Callithrix jacchus: one gene and its partner. The protein of the gene in region 2 interacts with the protein of the main gene of each other region in a pairwise test. Links are inferred from orthologs where the notes say so. Each region holds a gene or a part of one and is shown on either strand. Other genes may lie near its edges.

What was found. The genes of interacting proteins can lie anywhere in the genome.
Region 1: the proteins of MAGEB4 (region 2) and MED21 interact in binary tests that used the Homo sapiens proteins (3 or more experiments, as listed by UniProt). The two-hybrid records come from large-scale screens. The link is inferred for Callithrix jacchus from reciprocal best matches to the Homo sapiens genes MAGEB4 and MED21.

What each region holds. Positions count from the first base shown.
Region 1 is NC_133510.1:44,219,267-44,227,080, reverse strand, and holds the start of MED21 (mediator of RNA polymerase II transcription subunit 21), read left to right. Parts: upstream 1-2,539; 5' UTR 2,540-2,562; coding exon 2,563-2,604; intron 2,605-6,250; coding exon 6,251-6,365; intron 6,366-6,635; coding exon 6,636-6,736; intron 6,737-7,602; coding exon 7,603-7,779; 3' UTR 7,780-7,814. UniProt on the Homo sapiens protein: Component of the Mediator complex, a coactivator involved in the regulated transcription of nearly all RNA polymerase II-dependent genes.
Region 2 is NC_133524.1:31,133,496-31,140,727, reverse strand, and holds MAGEB4 (melanoma-associated antigen B4), read right to left. Parts: upstream 4,712-7,232; 5' UTR 4,576-4,711; coding exon 3,535-4,575; 3' UTR 2,982-3,534; downstream 1-2,981.

The DNA.
Region 1 (7,814 bases), on a different chromosome or scaffold from region 2:
ATCAGGCAGAGATAGCTGGACATCAACCTGAGGTCTCTGTGGAGACACAGAGGCAAAGACCTATTAGGAAGATATGGCAGGACAAAAGCTGTGTCACAATGTGAGTTGTCTTGAAGTGGCTTCTCTACTTCAGGTACCCACATTCCCTTCAATCAGACTGTAAAACTTAGTATTCTTACTGAGTGGACTAAACTATATCCAAGCAGTAACCAATCCATATTAATTTTTTTCTCAAAAATATATTTTAGTCATTCCTTCTTATCTGTCAACACTCTATTCTAGGCCCAGCTCATCTCACTCTTGGACAACTGGAAAACCTTCCTCTAAGTCCTTGGCTTATGCATCTTTGCAAACTGATCACCGGATATACTTCCTGGCAAATGGCAGGCATTCAGTAAGGTACACTCTTAAGTGAGGGTGGGAGAAGAAGGTCGTAGGTTCCTTCAAAATTACAGTTAAATAAAGTGATCTCTCATTAGTCCCATTATGGTGAGCATGCCTTATCCATGTTCCTAGTGAGGCCCCAGTGCGTCTGCAGACTGTTTGGGGATGGGGGTGGCACATGAGTGTGAAGCAGAAGTGGTGCTTCCCAGCAAGGGTTGGGATAAATCCAACAAGCTGTTTCCGAGGGACTGTGTCCCCCACCTTCCCTGCAACAATCACGAATAATCAGCCTGAGAAAGAGGATATGAGAGTTTGTTTGAAGTCTACAAACCTATTATTTGCCAATTCCAAACTCATTTCTTTCTTTCTTTCTTTTTTTTTTTTTTGAGATCTTGTTACCCAGGCTGGAGTGCAATGGCGCGATCTCGGCTCACCGCAACCTCCACCTCCTGGGTTCAGGCAATTCTCCTGCCTCAGCCTCCTGAGTAGCTGGGATTACAGGCACGCGCCACCATGCCCAGCTAATTTTTTGTATTTTTAGTAGAGACGGGGTTTCACCATGTTGACCAGGATGGTCTCGATCTCTTGACCTTGTGATTCACCCGCCTCAGCCTCCCAAAGTACTTGGATTACAGGCTTGAGCCACCGAGCCTGGCCATCCAAACTCATTTCTTACCAGACTATCCTCAGGCTAAATTTCCTTAAATATCAAATTTCTATTATCACTCTTCACACTTAAAATCTCAATACGTCCCAACTCTAAATCTAAATTGTGCTTCTGATTTTTCTTAAAAGTGAACCTGCTCTACCAATGCATCTAGCTTATTTTCCAGGAATCTCTTTTGCAACAATATACTGTGAAACCTCCACTCTCCTCTCCACTAACCCTCCTCTGTTCCTCACAGGGATTTCCTCACTGTCACGGAAACCAAAGAAGCTTATTAATTACCTACACTTAAACTTTCCCTCGTAACTCTAAATGCTCTTCTTCCTTTCTTCTTCACACATGGTCACTACTGCCCAGGTTAGTACCTGACCTTTTTGGACACTTTCTGTTTATTGAGTGTCACCTGTCCCAGCCCACCCCACTCAGAATGAAAGTGGGCACCCAGTCTCCATATGGGTAGCCCCAACCTCTTCAGCTCAAAGGTGACAGAGAAGGCACCCTAATCCTGTTCTTCATGATTGCCTCATGAATTTTAATTTATTATTTTTTTAATTTTTAGGTTCAGGGGTACATATGAAGGTTGGTTAGAGGAGTAACCTCATATTTGTTTAAAGTCCATATTGTGACTCCCAAGTACTCGAGTTTGCTTGCTGTGTATATGCTTTGTGGTCCACTGGAAACCTTGTTAAAGGTTTTTTCTGAAAAATAAATAGAGAGTTACTACAAATGTAAAACCCAAAGTATCTACAAGATTGTCTGTGAGTTGCTAAACTGTTGAAGCTGGTGAAAGGTATGCGAGGGTTCACTACACTCTCTACTTTTGAATATGTTTGAAACTTTTAATAATATAAAGTTTATATTCAATAATGTTGACTATATTATTGAAACCTAGAAAGCAAAAGCAACGGAAGCTTTCAAGACGATATAAAAAAATTAATATAAACTAGGGGAGGGACAGCGGGGGGTGGGGAGTTGGGGAGGGATAACATGGGGAGAAATATAAGATATAGGTGATGGGGAGGAAGGCAGCAAACCACATTGCCGTGTATGTACGTATGCAACAATCTTGCATGTTCTTCACATGTACCCCAAAACCTAAAACGCAATAAAATATACATATATATATAAAGAAAAAATAATATAAAAATATCTAGTGTTCAATTTGGTCAGTAAATAAATACATGAGGGTAAGAGAAATCACTAAAAAAAAATCTCCGCAGAATCCAACAATCTCTGAAGGCTTTAACACCTAAAAATCTAAAGAAACCCCTCAAAGCAACTGGACCGCGACCATTCTTCCCCAGTTACTCAAAAAGATTCAGCCTCATCCAGCTGTAGCCCGCTCTAGAAAGGCCGCTCGGGGAGTCCCAGCCCCTCCTGACAGGGCGGGCAGTTCTCTCCGACCCCACCCCTTCCAAGAACGCAGCCCTGTGATTGGCCAAGACGCGTGCCAGAGCGGCCCAGTCGCGGAAGAGCAGCTGTTACGGCGTCTGTTTGTGTGCAAGAGAAACATGGCGGATCGGCTCACTCAGCTGCAAGACGCGGTGAATTCGGTGAGGAATTTCATTCGATTAACCTCTGTCCTTTTCTTTCCTGAGGTAAAGCAAGGGAGGAAAGGGGCCCAAAAGGCAAAACTTGGAAGTAGGAAGCGAACTGAGACACGGCTTCGGCATAAAGAGCGTGTCCCCCTTTATGGAGGGAGGCCCCACCGCGAACTTGGACGTTTGAAGCCGGCTGCCGTGCGAGGCAGCCTCTTTCGCCTGAGGAGACCGAGACAGGGAAGGTCGCTCTTGTCCGGGTCAGACCGCCAAGATTTGTGGGCTGCGCGGTCCTGTCGTGTTCCCTGAGGACAGTTTTATTATTAGTGGTGCTTACGGAATCTCTTTCTTTTGGGAGTTGGGGGAGAAGCCGAAGCTTTTTTCTTTCCTCATCAATTTTAATCCACCAAGGGAGGTCTCATGCTCTGGATGACTGGGTTTTTGTAATGAAATGTCGGCGCTTTCAGGTTGGTGCGGGAGCGAAGCTGAGGTGAGGTGAGAGATCTTTCGTCTTAGCTCGTTCCTATGGGCCCAGAGTCTCCTTCCATCTCTTGTCTCTTGGCCACCCTTTAGAATACATCAGTTTGGGGACATCTGTATGATAGGAAATCTTCTAATTCTCGCATACCTTTCCGTTTGAGTCCTTTTTTCTTTTTTCTTTGAGACATTGTCTCGCTTGGCCTCCCGAAGTGCTGGAATTACAGGTGTGAACCACCACACCTGGCCTGTAAACACTTTTTTAATGTCTCCCCCAAATTCTATTCTATTAAAGGCAAAGTCTTGTGAGTAGTTCCCCAATTTTGTTCCTTCTGGTTATTTTTCCTCCACAGTATTGCCTGAGTGGAAAGTAGATGCAAAGCCAAAGGATGCGTATACAATCATGAGTATGGGCCCTTAAAGAATGGGTTATGTAAACCGTAAATACATTAACCAGTAACAGTTAGTATCATTATCTGGTATTATGGACTCTACATAATTGTATGTGCTGTACTTTCATACATTGGCAGTGTGGTAGGTTGGTTTACACCAGCATCACTGCGAGCACTAAGTAATGCATTGCGCTACAGCGTTAGGACTGCTACGATGTCACTAGGCGGTAAGAATTTTCAGCTTTGTTCTAACCACAGGGGACTGACATAGTATCCTTTGATCAAGACGTCGTTATGAGGCTGTGGGTATACTTATTACCATTACAAATTACATAGTTTTCCGTTAAATAGTTTTTCCTCGATAGTTATGTTTCTCATTGTCTAATTGTGATTTAATGTCTTAAATAAGGGGCTGCAGAGAAAACATGCTGCGAGGAAAACCTAAGTACCTGGTCTCCTTGCCAGTTTTTTTTTTTTTTTTTCATTATTGCATTTTAGGTTTTGGGGTACATGTGAAGAACATGCAAGATAGTTGCATAGGTACACACGTGGCAGTTTGATTTGCTGCCTTCCTCCCCTTCACCTATATCTGGCATTTCTCCCCATTCTCTCTCTCCTCAACTGTCTACCCCCCCGCTGTCCCTCCCCTATTTCCCCCCAACAGACCCCAGTGTGTAGTGCTCCCCTCTCTGTGTCCATGTGTTCTCATTGTTCAACACCCACCTATGAGTGAGCTCATCCTCACTGGTCATTAGAGAAATGCAAATCAAAACTACATTGAGATACCATCTCATGCCAATTAGAATGGTAATCATTAAAAAACTCTGGAGACAACAGATGCTGGAGAGGATGTGGAGAAATAGGAACACTTTTACACTGCTGGTGCCAGTTTTTTTTTCCCCCACTCACTGTAAGCTAATAACTTGGTATTTTTGTTAATACATCAGGCTTTGCACACTTGAAGAGTGTGAATCTACTTGTGATAAACTGATATACTCTGGGTGATTAACAGTAGTTTTTAAGGCTGAGAGGACCAGTCTCTAAATGTTGACTTCATCAAGATAAATTCTACCCTGCAGGGACTTGCCTGGGCTGCCAGCCAGCCTCCTTCAGGGAACTACTCCTTCGAGGTTTTACAAAATCAAATTGTAATGATGCTGCTGGATAGAAATCTTATTTTAGGGAAAATTTCTTATATTCATGTATGTCTTGTAACTAGAAGGATAGTAAGAACAGAGTGAATATGGCCTTAACTTTAGGTTAAGCATACTGATAATTGGATTTTGGAGAGAAGCATTTAGGATAACTAGTATGAGTGCCTACTGTATATAAGCGCGATCATGTTTTCAAAGAGATACTCCTTCAGGAGGTTAAAAAATGTATATTCAGGAGACATTTAAGTGATGGAAAAACAGTTTGTGATTAGGGAGTTACAATGAATTGAGTGTTTTCAACTGCAGGTTCTGAAGTAAATTGGAATATGGAGTGATGTGAACCAAAATAGGGAGAATCTTCTTAAGCATTTATTCTAATCATAATTAATTATTTGTATAACTTTTAACAGTTGTTCTACCCTCTGAAAACTGAGTGCAGAAGCTATGTCTCATTTACTATGTGTTTATATACAATACTTGTCATAGTTATTTTCCATAAATTTTTGTTGACTAAATGGATCTTAAGAGCTTTTGAAGAATGGAACAGATAACCACTGTGTTGAATATTTTTGTGTCTTGTCTGTTCCTCACAACAATGTTGTAATATGAGAATGTATCCAATTTAAAAATGATAAATGCTACTTGAGTTAATAGAACTAGGATTAGGATCTAGACTTGTATAGCAGCTGAGCGCTTATTGCTCCATTACAATTAGCAAAACCTGGACAAAGCCATTTAGTCATGAGTGACTTTATAACTAGGTAAATATGAAGGAGTAGTGGAAAACAAGACAGAGGAAAAGAGAAAGATTAGAAGTATTAGTAGAATTTGAAGATCAAAGGAAAGTAAGAATCTGTGGTTAGACTGGTTGACTTAGAGACTGTCAATACAAATTAAACAGAGAAAACAGTTGCCTTTGAGTTCTGTAATTGAACAATGGCAGAGAAACCCAGTGCAAATGCTTATTAGAAATAGGAGGTTTGAGAGGTCAAGACTAGGTGAGAGAAATTGGTGGGGAGGATAGGCGTTTTTAATTTGGAGATGATAAGGAATTGCTGTTCTCAATCTTTAGAAGTACTTAAGGAGTACTTTTAGCGCACAAGAGTTTAAAACTTGAGTCTTGAACAAATATGTTTCTGATTACTTAAGGTGCTTTTCTGAGCAGCCTTTTCCCCACTATTTCTTTATGCTTGTAACTACTCCAGTTTCAGAAAAGGAATTATATACTTTGTACATGAATAATAAATTTTCATTTGACGCAATGCCATAGGTAGATATTTGCAAGTCAGATTTCCATCACTGCTCTTTTCCATCACTGTTCCCCAAAAGTCTTTACTTTTGGCTTATAATAAATATTGGCTAGTGTTCTCTTACCATTTTACTATCAAAAGAAAAGAAATATTATTTTTATTTCAACTGTTTCAACTGGGTTGATACCAAACTTAGTTTCTTTGCAGAATTAAAATGTTTAATTAACGTTATTAGTAACTGGCTTATTTTATCAGCAATTATTCCTTTCTGTTTTATTCCCTTACTCAGAGATTATGATTAAAGAAATTTATTGTTGTTGCTGTTATCAATAAAGTCCTTAAAATTGATAAGTCCTTCCTAACCTTGACATGTTTTCTTTGGCCTAAGCTTGCAGATCAGTTTTGTAATGCCATTGGAGTATTGCAGCAGTGTGGTCCTCCTGCGTCTTTTAGTAATATTCAGACAGCAATTAACAAAGACCAGCCAGCTAATCCTACAGAAGGTAAACTGGTTTTCTTAGCTTCTCTTTGACTCTCACATTTATTGTAATCCTTTCAAATTAGATTTATTGAGCAATTCGGCTTATTTTGTTTCCAAAAATTATGCTTAATTCCCAATTTGAGCTAAATGTGTAATAGGATTTGTGTATATTTTAATCATTAGAATCCTAGTGCAGAAAAAGCTATGTGAAGTTTCCAGTTTCACTAACTTAAAATTTGTTCTGAAAACTTGAGGTTTTCTAATGACCTGATCTAGCATTATCTTTCTCTAGAGTATGCCCAGCTTTTTGCAGCACTGATTGCACGAACAGCAAAAGACATTGATGTTTTGATAGATTCCCTACCCAGTGAAGAGTCTACAGCTGCTTTACAGGTAAGTCTTTATTCCTTTGAGAATTTTACCAGTAATAGAGAATTTTGAATTAAAGGAGCAAGGTTTAATACCTTTTGTCTGTGTCCATTTGTGCTGCTGTAACAGAATACCTGAGACAATAATTTATAAAGAACAGAAATTTATTTTCTCACAGTTTCTGTAGGCTGGGAGGTCCAAGATCAAGACATTTATTACTCATTGTGCATGAGTAAGACATTTTTATTTAACACAGTGCTATGTTTAGGGCCATGTTTAAGGCCATGTTGAGGGCCTTCTTTCTATTTCCTCACATGGCAGAAGGCAGAAGGACAAAAGAGCAAGAATTCCCTCTTCAACCTCAAGCCATTTTATGAGGGCACTAATTCTATGAGAGCTTTGCCTTCATGACTTAATATCCTCTTAAAGGCCCTTTCCTTCTTAATACCTTCACATTGGGGATTAGATTTTAACGTATGAATTTTGGAGGGGACACATAACGTATGAATTTTGGAGGGGACACATTCAAATCATAGCACCTTTTGTTATAATATTCAATTTTCCATTATAAGGAAACCTCTTATTTCCTCAATTGTGTCTCTTTTCCTAGTGAAGAATGAGAGGAGGGTGGCATTCTAGATGTGGAGTAGAACAATGGTGCCCAAATGTAGTGTGGAAGGGAGTCACTTACAGATATCTAGAGATTTCTAATTGAAAATTCATTCTTTTTAATAATTCAAATGAGGAAAATTCTTAGAAGTTATCTGATTTTTAGAATTTCTTTGCTGAAAAACACAATAATTGCAAAGTCATCCAGATTTAAAAATAAGTACCTCTGTGACAGCTTCCCTCGTTAACTCTAAAGATTTCAAAATTTCTGTCTTATAAAGGCTGCTAGCTTATATAAGCTAGAAGAAGAAAACCATGAAGCTGCTACATGTCTGGAAGATGTTGTTTATCGAGGAGACATGCTTCTGGAAAAGATACAAAGTGCGCTTGCTGATATTGCACAGTCACAGCTGAAGACAAGAAGTGGTACCCATAGCCAGTCTATTCCAGACTCGTAGCACCAGTGGATACCATGTGGCTGAGAAAAGAACTG
Region 2 (7,232 bases):
ACTCCCCCTTCAGGGCCAGATGCTCTCCTCCCTGAGACCTTCCAGGCGGAAATGAGAGGCACCTTAGGCAGATAGCTCTGTCTGGTGCTTCAAAACGGGATGAACTCTGTGTGGTCTTGTCTGCTGGTGGAGTCCCCGCATAACACGTAAGAGTCCTACAGTGATTCTTGTTAGAGTCTCAACCTCTTCCCTCTGTGAAACTGACGCTGCCCCAAGTAGACGGAACCAGTCACCTCCCTGAGACTTTCCGGGCAGAAATCAACCTGCCATCCCCGCCTGGGGCTTTTTGTGAGGCCTCTTCTTAACCCTTAGTCCACATTCAGCCTCTCACCTTGACAAGTGAGCAAACCTATAACTCCACCCTTTATTTACCTGAACCTGCTCCTCTCACATAAAGGTCCTGTTTTCCTGAGAATTTGGAGTTGGAATTCTGGATGATCCTCATATGATCATAGTTCTTTTGCAACCTGCAAGAACAGATAGTAAGGACAGGCCTCAATAGAGCTCCACAGTTTTGCTCCTCGCCTTTACATGTATCAGAACCTGGGACTCCTCTGTTTACTGAACTGAGGTCACCCTCCTGAAGGGTCTAGATGAAACCTTACATTTTGAAATGGTTTTCACCCTACTATTCATTCATGAGGGTTCTCATGTTGGCTCCTGTCTCTTGATCAATGTCTTCCAGGGAAATGTCACATCTCTGCAAAAATTTGATCAATTTCCTCTTTGCAGAGCTTGCAGAGAAGAGGTCCCTGTCCCAGAAGTAATGTGACATTGGGAAACTGAAATGGAAGGTGGAGAGCCTAGGACAGATACTGTGCTCTCAGGGGAAAAAACATGCTGATCTGTTCTTTCACTTCACCAACCAAAGGGTATTTCTAAAAGACTTACTTTCTATAGAAAAGGGTGAAGCCAGATGATTTTGCAATCTTTCGATCTTTTGAAGCTATCTGATTTTGCTTCTGTTGATGATCATATTGTCACCGAGTATTATTTCTTTCTGTCTTTAACTTACATGTGTCAATTATTTTGGTATTATCCTTGCTCTGGTTTTGTATTCCAATCAGTGTTTGGGGCATAGACCTCTTCTTTGTTACCTGAGATACACTTTGGGTTAGCAGAAGAAAATGAATTAAGCAACTTGTGGTAAGCTTCAGTTTGGGAGGAGTGGAACAGTGTGGACTCTAGAGGAATTCAGATCAGCAGTCTAGTTTCAGCCCTATCACTTACTAGCTGTATGAACTTGGGCACATTACCAAACTCTATGAGCCTTAGGCTCTGCATCTGTGAAATGGGCTTGATAAGCCTTGTGATGTAGGACTGGTGGAATGTGGTTAACATGTGCAAAGCCCTGGAGTGCATTGAGACTTTAAACAATGCTTATTACTATGATTATTTCAACTACAGAAGAAATCATCTGTAGTTGATTCAGAAGAAATCTGCTGATTTTTTTTAAGCCCAAGTGATAACAAAGAATATACAACATTCTAAGACATGAAACTACAAATCAGCCCAAAATGCAGCTTACAAAGAAACTCTAAGTATCTTTTCCATACTGAATCATAGTTTGAGTGTGGAGTTGTCTTTCTCAGCTGAAAGCAACTGAAACCTTCTAGGGTTTGCTTCAAAGACCAACTCTAGCCTTTCATACAAACCACCCTTATATTCATTTATTTTACCATCACCAAAAATCTAGATGTCCCTTAAAACTTCCAAAACACATGAAAGAAAAGAAAAATGAATGCCCTTTTAATGGAATGGATTCTGGCTCCCCAGCTGATGGCAGAGTATTAGCCCAGTGGCATATGAGTTTCCAGTCTTAAAGGAGTAACACCTTTATTTCTCAGAAACACCCCGGGGACTATGTGCATAAAACACCTAATCTGTGTACTGGATTCACTTGCGCTGGGACAAGAGCACAGGCCATTTTCAATCCCTACCCCAGGCAAAGATTTCCTCTGTTTTTTTCCACAATTCCAAAGTAACTTTTAAGGGCAATTTTTCATTCCAGTCTCTAACTCTCAACTCTGAGATCCATCATCTGAGTGTGTGACCCCCCTGCTCGGTGCGCCCCATCTAGTCACTATGCAGCAACATAAAATTACCTCCTACTGCAGTATGTTCAGTTTCCCAGAGTCTCAATTACCTTGCTTAGGACATTTACACTAGATTCTTCCCCTAGAAACACCCCCACCTTCTTATATCCTCTTTTCAACTGTCTTTAGGTCTTAGGGACTATCTCATTACCTTCATTATGTGATAGCTGCTGTTGAATTCTAAAATTCTATGGACAGGGTTTTATTTTTTTTTAATTTTTATTTTTTTGCTTATCCAGTGCTAGCTAGGAGCCCTCTGAAGAGTAGCTGCTCAATTAATATTAGGACAATTAAAGTGCAAGTGAGCCGGAAGTCAAATGTATTGCTATTTAATTTCTCCCACATTCCTGAGAAAGCTAACCCAATCCAGATACATATACTTCAGTTTTACAAAGAAAGACTAAAAGGAATAAAACAAAGCAAGAATTGACCACATTTTACTTTTTTTTCTCTATTTCATGATCCCACCAACTTTATTGCTAGGTAATTTCCTTTTCACAAATTCTGTATTCTAATGTCATATTGTCTTGTTCTAGATCACAGAAAAAGATTTAAAGATTTTAAATTGTTTTACATAATGCAAAAGTTCTTGTTCTTCAACCTGACATATTTTAATAAATGAGTTTTTCATGCCATTCATAAACTTAGATTCTGAAACTAAATAATTCTACAATTAAAAGAAAGAACACTGAAAAACAGGAAAATGAAAAGATAAATCATTTTACATACAAATATATTATATATGATGTTCCCACCAACTCCTCTTTGGCCCTCTATTAATTAGAAGGTTAATATTTTCTTTAATTAAAAGTAAAGAATATACCTCAGACTTCACAAGGAGTGGATGACACTGTTGGACATCACACTGGAACATGCCAGGAGCAGTTGCAACACTGTCTCCCTCATCTCTCAAAGTCTTCTCTTAATAGAGGGAAGACAATGGGGACACTGTCATTGACCTTGGCCGAAGCCTCCACATTCTTAAATAATCTAAGCAAACCAGGTATGTAACTTTCAAATTTATGAACAACAAAAGACTAAAAGTAGTAAGATAAATCAAAAATAAAGCAACTTTTGCTTTTCTTCTCTTTCTGTCTTCAGATTCTTCTATTTTACTGTGGCGTTATTTTAAATTTCTAAAAATAACCTTACTCCAACGCCATGTTATTTTGCTCTGTATCACAAAAACGATTTTCAGATTTTCTATTTGTATTTCAAAAACCAAACTCTTATTACTAAACCAACCTGATAAACAGAAATAAGTGTGTGATGCATGCCATTTCTAAGCTTATATTCTGAATTTAAATAACCTTTCTATTTTAAGAAACATCACAGGAAAATTCAACAAAGAGATATATCACCGAGTTATTCATGCAGCACAGGAACAGCAGAAGGCAGCAGGTCTTTCAACTACAAATTGAACAATTTGCCTTAGATCTCACATGGGGTGGGAAGAGCTGCTGGATGTGTCCCTTGAATGTGCACTAGTCATGGCAGTAGTGCCACGCCTGGCTGCAACTCTGGGCCGGGCTTTGGCTTTCTCTTCTTCATCTCTCAAAGCCTCTTCATAAAGGAGTGGGAAGTTACTGGGGATGGTATCATTCACCTTGGCCAAAAACTCTAGGACTTTCATCTTGCTGGTTTCAGCATAGGCTCTTGGACCCCACAGGAATTGATAGCGTGGGGGATCACTGTTGGGCACCTGCTTGTACTCCAGATATTCTTCCTGCACCAGATCTTGGGAGATAAGCTTTCGGGCATCCCCAAAGATGATATGCCTCTTACCATCATAGATCCCCAAAACATTCAGGAATTCCCAGATTTCCTCTTCACTGGCACAGTTGCCACTTAAGAAGATCACACTCAGTAGAGGCATCAGAAGCCCATTCCTTGGATATTTCCAGGAACTGCTCTCGTTTCCATCGTTGGTGGGATTCAGCAAGCTGACAATGGTGTAGGAGTGACTGGTCGGGTTGACTTCCTTCAAGGAAAGGCCAAAGACCAGCTCCATGCGCTGAGAGGCTCTGCTGAAGATCTCAGGGAAGTGCTCCTTGTACTTTTTGCTGATGATCTTCAGCATTTCTGCCTTTGTAGTGGGCTCTTTCATTTTATACTTGTACAGCAGGAACTGCACCAACATCTTCGTCTTCCTGGTTATAGGATCTTTGATTGAGCTCTCAGTGGATGTTGAGGCCTGGAAGGAACTTGCCTTTTCCTCACCTTGGCTCTTGTCACTTTCATCAGATCCAGTGCATGACATAGCTGCAGCACCAGTGGTGGGTAGTGCTCTCTGAGGCCTCTGCAGAATGCCAGCAGCAGGGGAGCTGGAGGGAATATCCCCCAAAACAGATGAGGAAGAGGAATGAGACTCTTCTTTCTCTGCTGCAGTGGCCTGAGCAACCTTGGTATCCTGGGTCTGACCACGGGTCCGCTGGCGTTTCTCACGGGCACGGAGCTTACTCTTCTGACCTCGAGGCATGATAGCTGTGATTAGGCACAACAGGTAGGAGAGTAGCCAGAAGGGCAGGTGATATGGTGCCTGGAGAAGAGAGATTGAGATCCTGAGAACACCTTTAGTAGGCAGATACTACCTTGGCTTTTCAGAAACCGTCTCTGCAGGATTCCTTGAGAACACTGCTCTAAGTATTGACTGGGCTATTGTTCTTCGTCATTCTGTCCCCTGAGAACTCAGCTGAGGAAGTTACAATGTGCCTTAGGCTGCAGCTTGCCAACCCTGCTGGGGGCTGACTGGGTTCTCTCTGTGTTCTGGCTTGGAAAGGATCCACTCTGATTACTTTTAGAATTATCCTGTCAGCTCTTGGCAGGGCCTCAGCCTCCTTCTATTGGTGTTGTGAAGTAGAATCTTTAACTTTCTATGGGACCCAGATGAGGGAAATGTAGGGGCACCTCAACCCACCACCCCTGCTTCGAAGCATTTAGTGCTCTCTGTCCTGGGATCCTCAGGTCCCAAGTTTGCACTCAGTTTCCTCATCTGGACTCCATGCAGGGTTGTGGACTGTCTCTTCTGATGACTAATAACTGCGACTTCAGACCAAGAATTTCACCTTTTCTAGTTCTGACATAAAATGTGATGGGCATCTATGAAAAAAAAATTGATAATCTGGGCTTCACTAAATTATAACTTCTGCTCTGGTAAAGATACCACAAAGAATAAGACAACTCCCAGATTGGGAAAAATTTATTTTCAAAAGACATATCTGATAAAAGATTGTTAACCAAAACATACAAAAAATTCTTAAAACTGAACAATAAGAATGGACCAACCCTATTAAAAATGGGCAAAAGATATAAATGAGCATCTCAACAATAATATATACAGAAAGTAAATACGTACATGAAGTGATGCACAACATCACATGTCATTAGGGACTTGCAAATTAAAGTAATGTGAAACCACTCCATACCTATAAGAATGGTCAAAATCAAAAACTCTGATAACCCCAACTACCGACGAGGATGTGGAGCAATAGGAGCACACTGTCATTGCTGGTGGACATGCGAAATGGTACAGCCACTTTGGAAGACAGTTTATAAATTTCTTACAAAACTATGTGTAGTCTTATCATATGATCTAGTAACTGCACTTCTTGTTATTTAGCCAAATGAGTTGAAAAGAATGTTCACAAAATAACCTGCACACAAACATTTATAGTAGCTTTATTTATAATTGCCTAAACTGGAAAGCAGCCAAGATGTCCTTCAGAAGGAGAGTGGGTAAATTAAGAGTATAAAATATTATTCAGTATTAAAAGGGAAAGAACTATCAAGCCACAAAGAGACATGGAGGAAACCTAACTACATATTACAAAGTGAAAGAAGCCAATGTGAAAAGGCAACACAATGCATAATTCCATCTATAGACATTCTGGAAAAGGCAAAAGTGTAGAAACAGTACAAAGTTGAGTGGTTTCCAAGGGTTGGGAAGAGTGAGAGATAAATACATGAGGCACAGAGAACTTTTAAGGCAGTAAAGCAATTCTGTCTTAAATTGATAAGGTGATAATGATGTGTCCCTGTATGCTCAATTGTAACAAGTGTATTACCCTGGGTTGGGAGGTTGATATGAGGGAGGCTGTGCCTGGGAGGACAGGATGCCTGTGGAACTCTCTGTGCTTTCTGCTCAGTTTTGCTGTGAACATTAAACTATTCTGAAAAAAGAAGGTCAAGTATTTAAAAAAAAGTGATGGTGAAGCCTCAGCCTCACATGTTGCCCTGGCAATTTAAGATTTATGCAGGGGGCTAGAGTCTGTTGTCCTCTCTATTTAGAGGTGAGCAGCCCCCTCAGCTCTCACTTGTTTTCCTTTATTTGGCTCCTGGAAGATCCTGAGGCTCCCCTCCTTTTTGACCTCAAGACCTCTCTGTTTAAAAGGCCTGTACCTCCCTGAGATCTGATAGGAGGAGGAGAGGGTGGCCTTATCTGGCCATAACTGACTATGGTCTCCCAAGAGTGGCGGCTGTGGTAGCCAGGTTGAGGTCTTATGGTGGATCGTCCTACTCAGGTCCTAACTCAGGATCCTAAATCTGACTCACAGGAAGGCTTAATATTCCTCCCCCTGCTGAGCTGGGACTGCCCACCTCAGAACAAGACCTTCACTTCTCTGTTACTACTGATGATATGAGGGTGCCTCTGTCTGACATTCATGCCTGAATCTCTCAGAGATGACAATAGGGAGGATTCTGTGGGGTCTACACTGATAGGGGTTTGGTGGTTCCTGCACCCTTCAGGGTACTCACTTTACTCCTGGCACACCTTAGGAATCCTATCTCTATGGACCTGAGTCAGCTAGCCTGAGATAATGGTCTTTAACTTCTTAAGACCTCCGGAGTAGAAATTAGGTTCAGCTACATCCTGTCAAGACTATTGGGGTGAATGCTTCCCTCATTCTTTATTCAGGGTCCTCAACTTGGTACGTGTCAGAGAATGGGACTCCTCCCTCTACTGACCTGAGGTCCAAGAACTCACAAGTCCCTATGAACTTTGAAGAATAAGTGAGGAGATGCTCAGGCTAAGAACTGTGTCTGGCATGTTGCTCTGCTCTGTCCTCCTATATGAGGGTCTTTTTCTTGGTTCTTGTCCCTTAATTAATGACTTCCTGGGAAATACCACATCCCTTA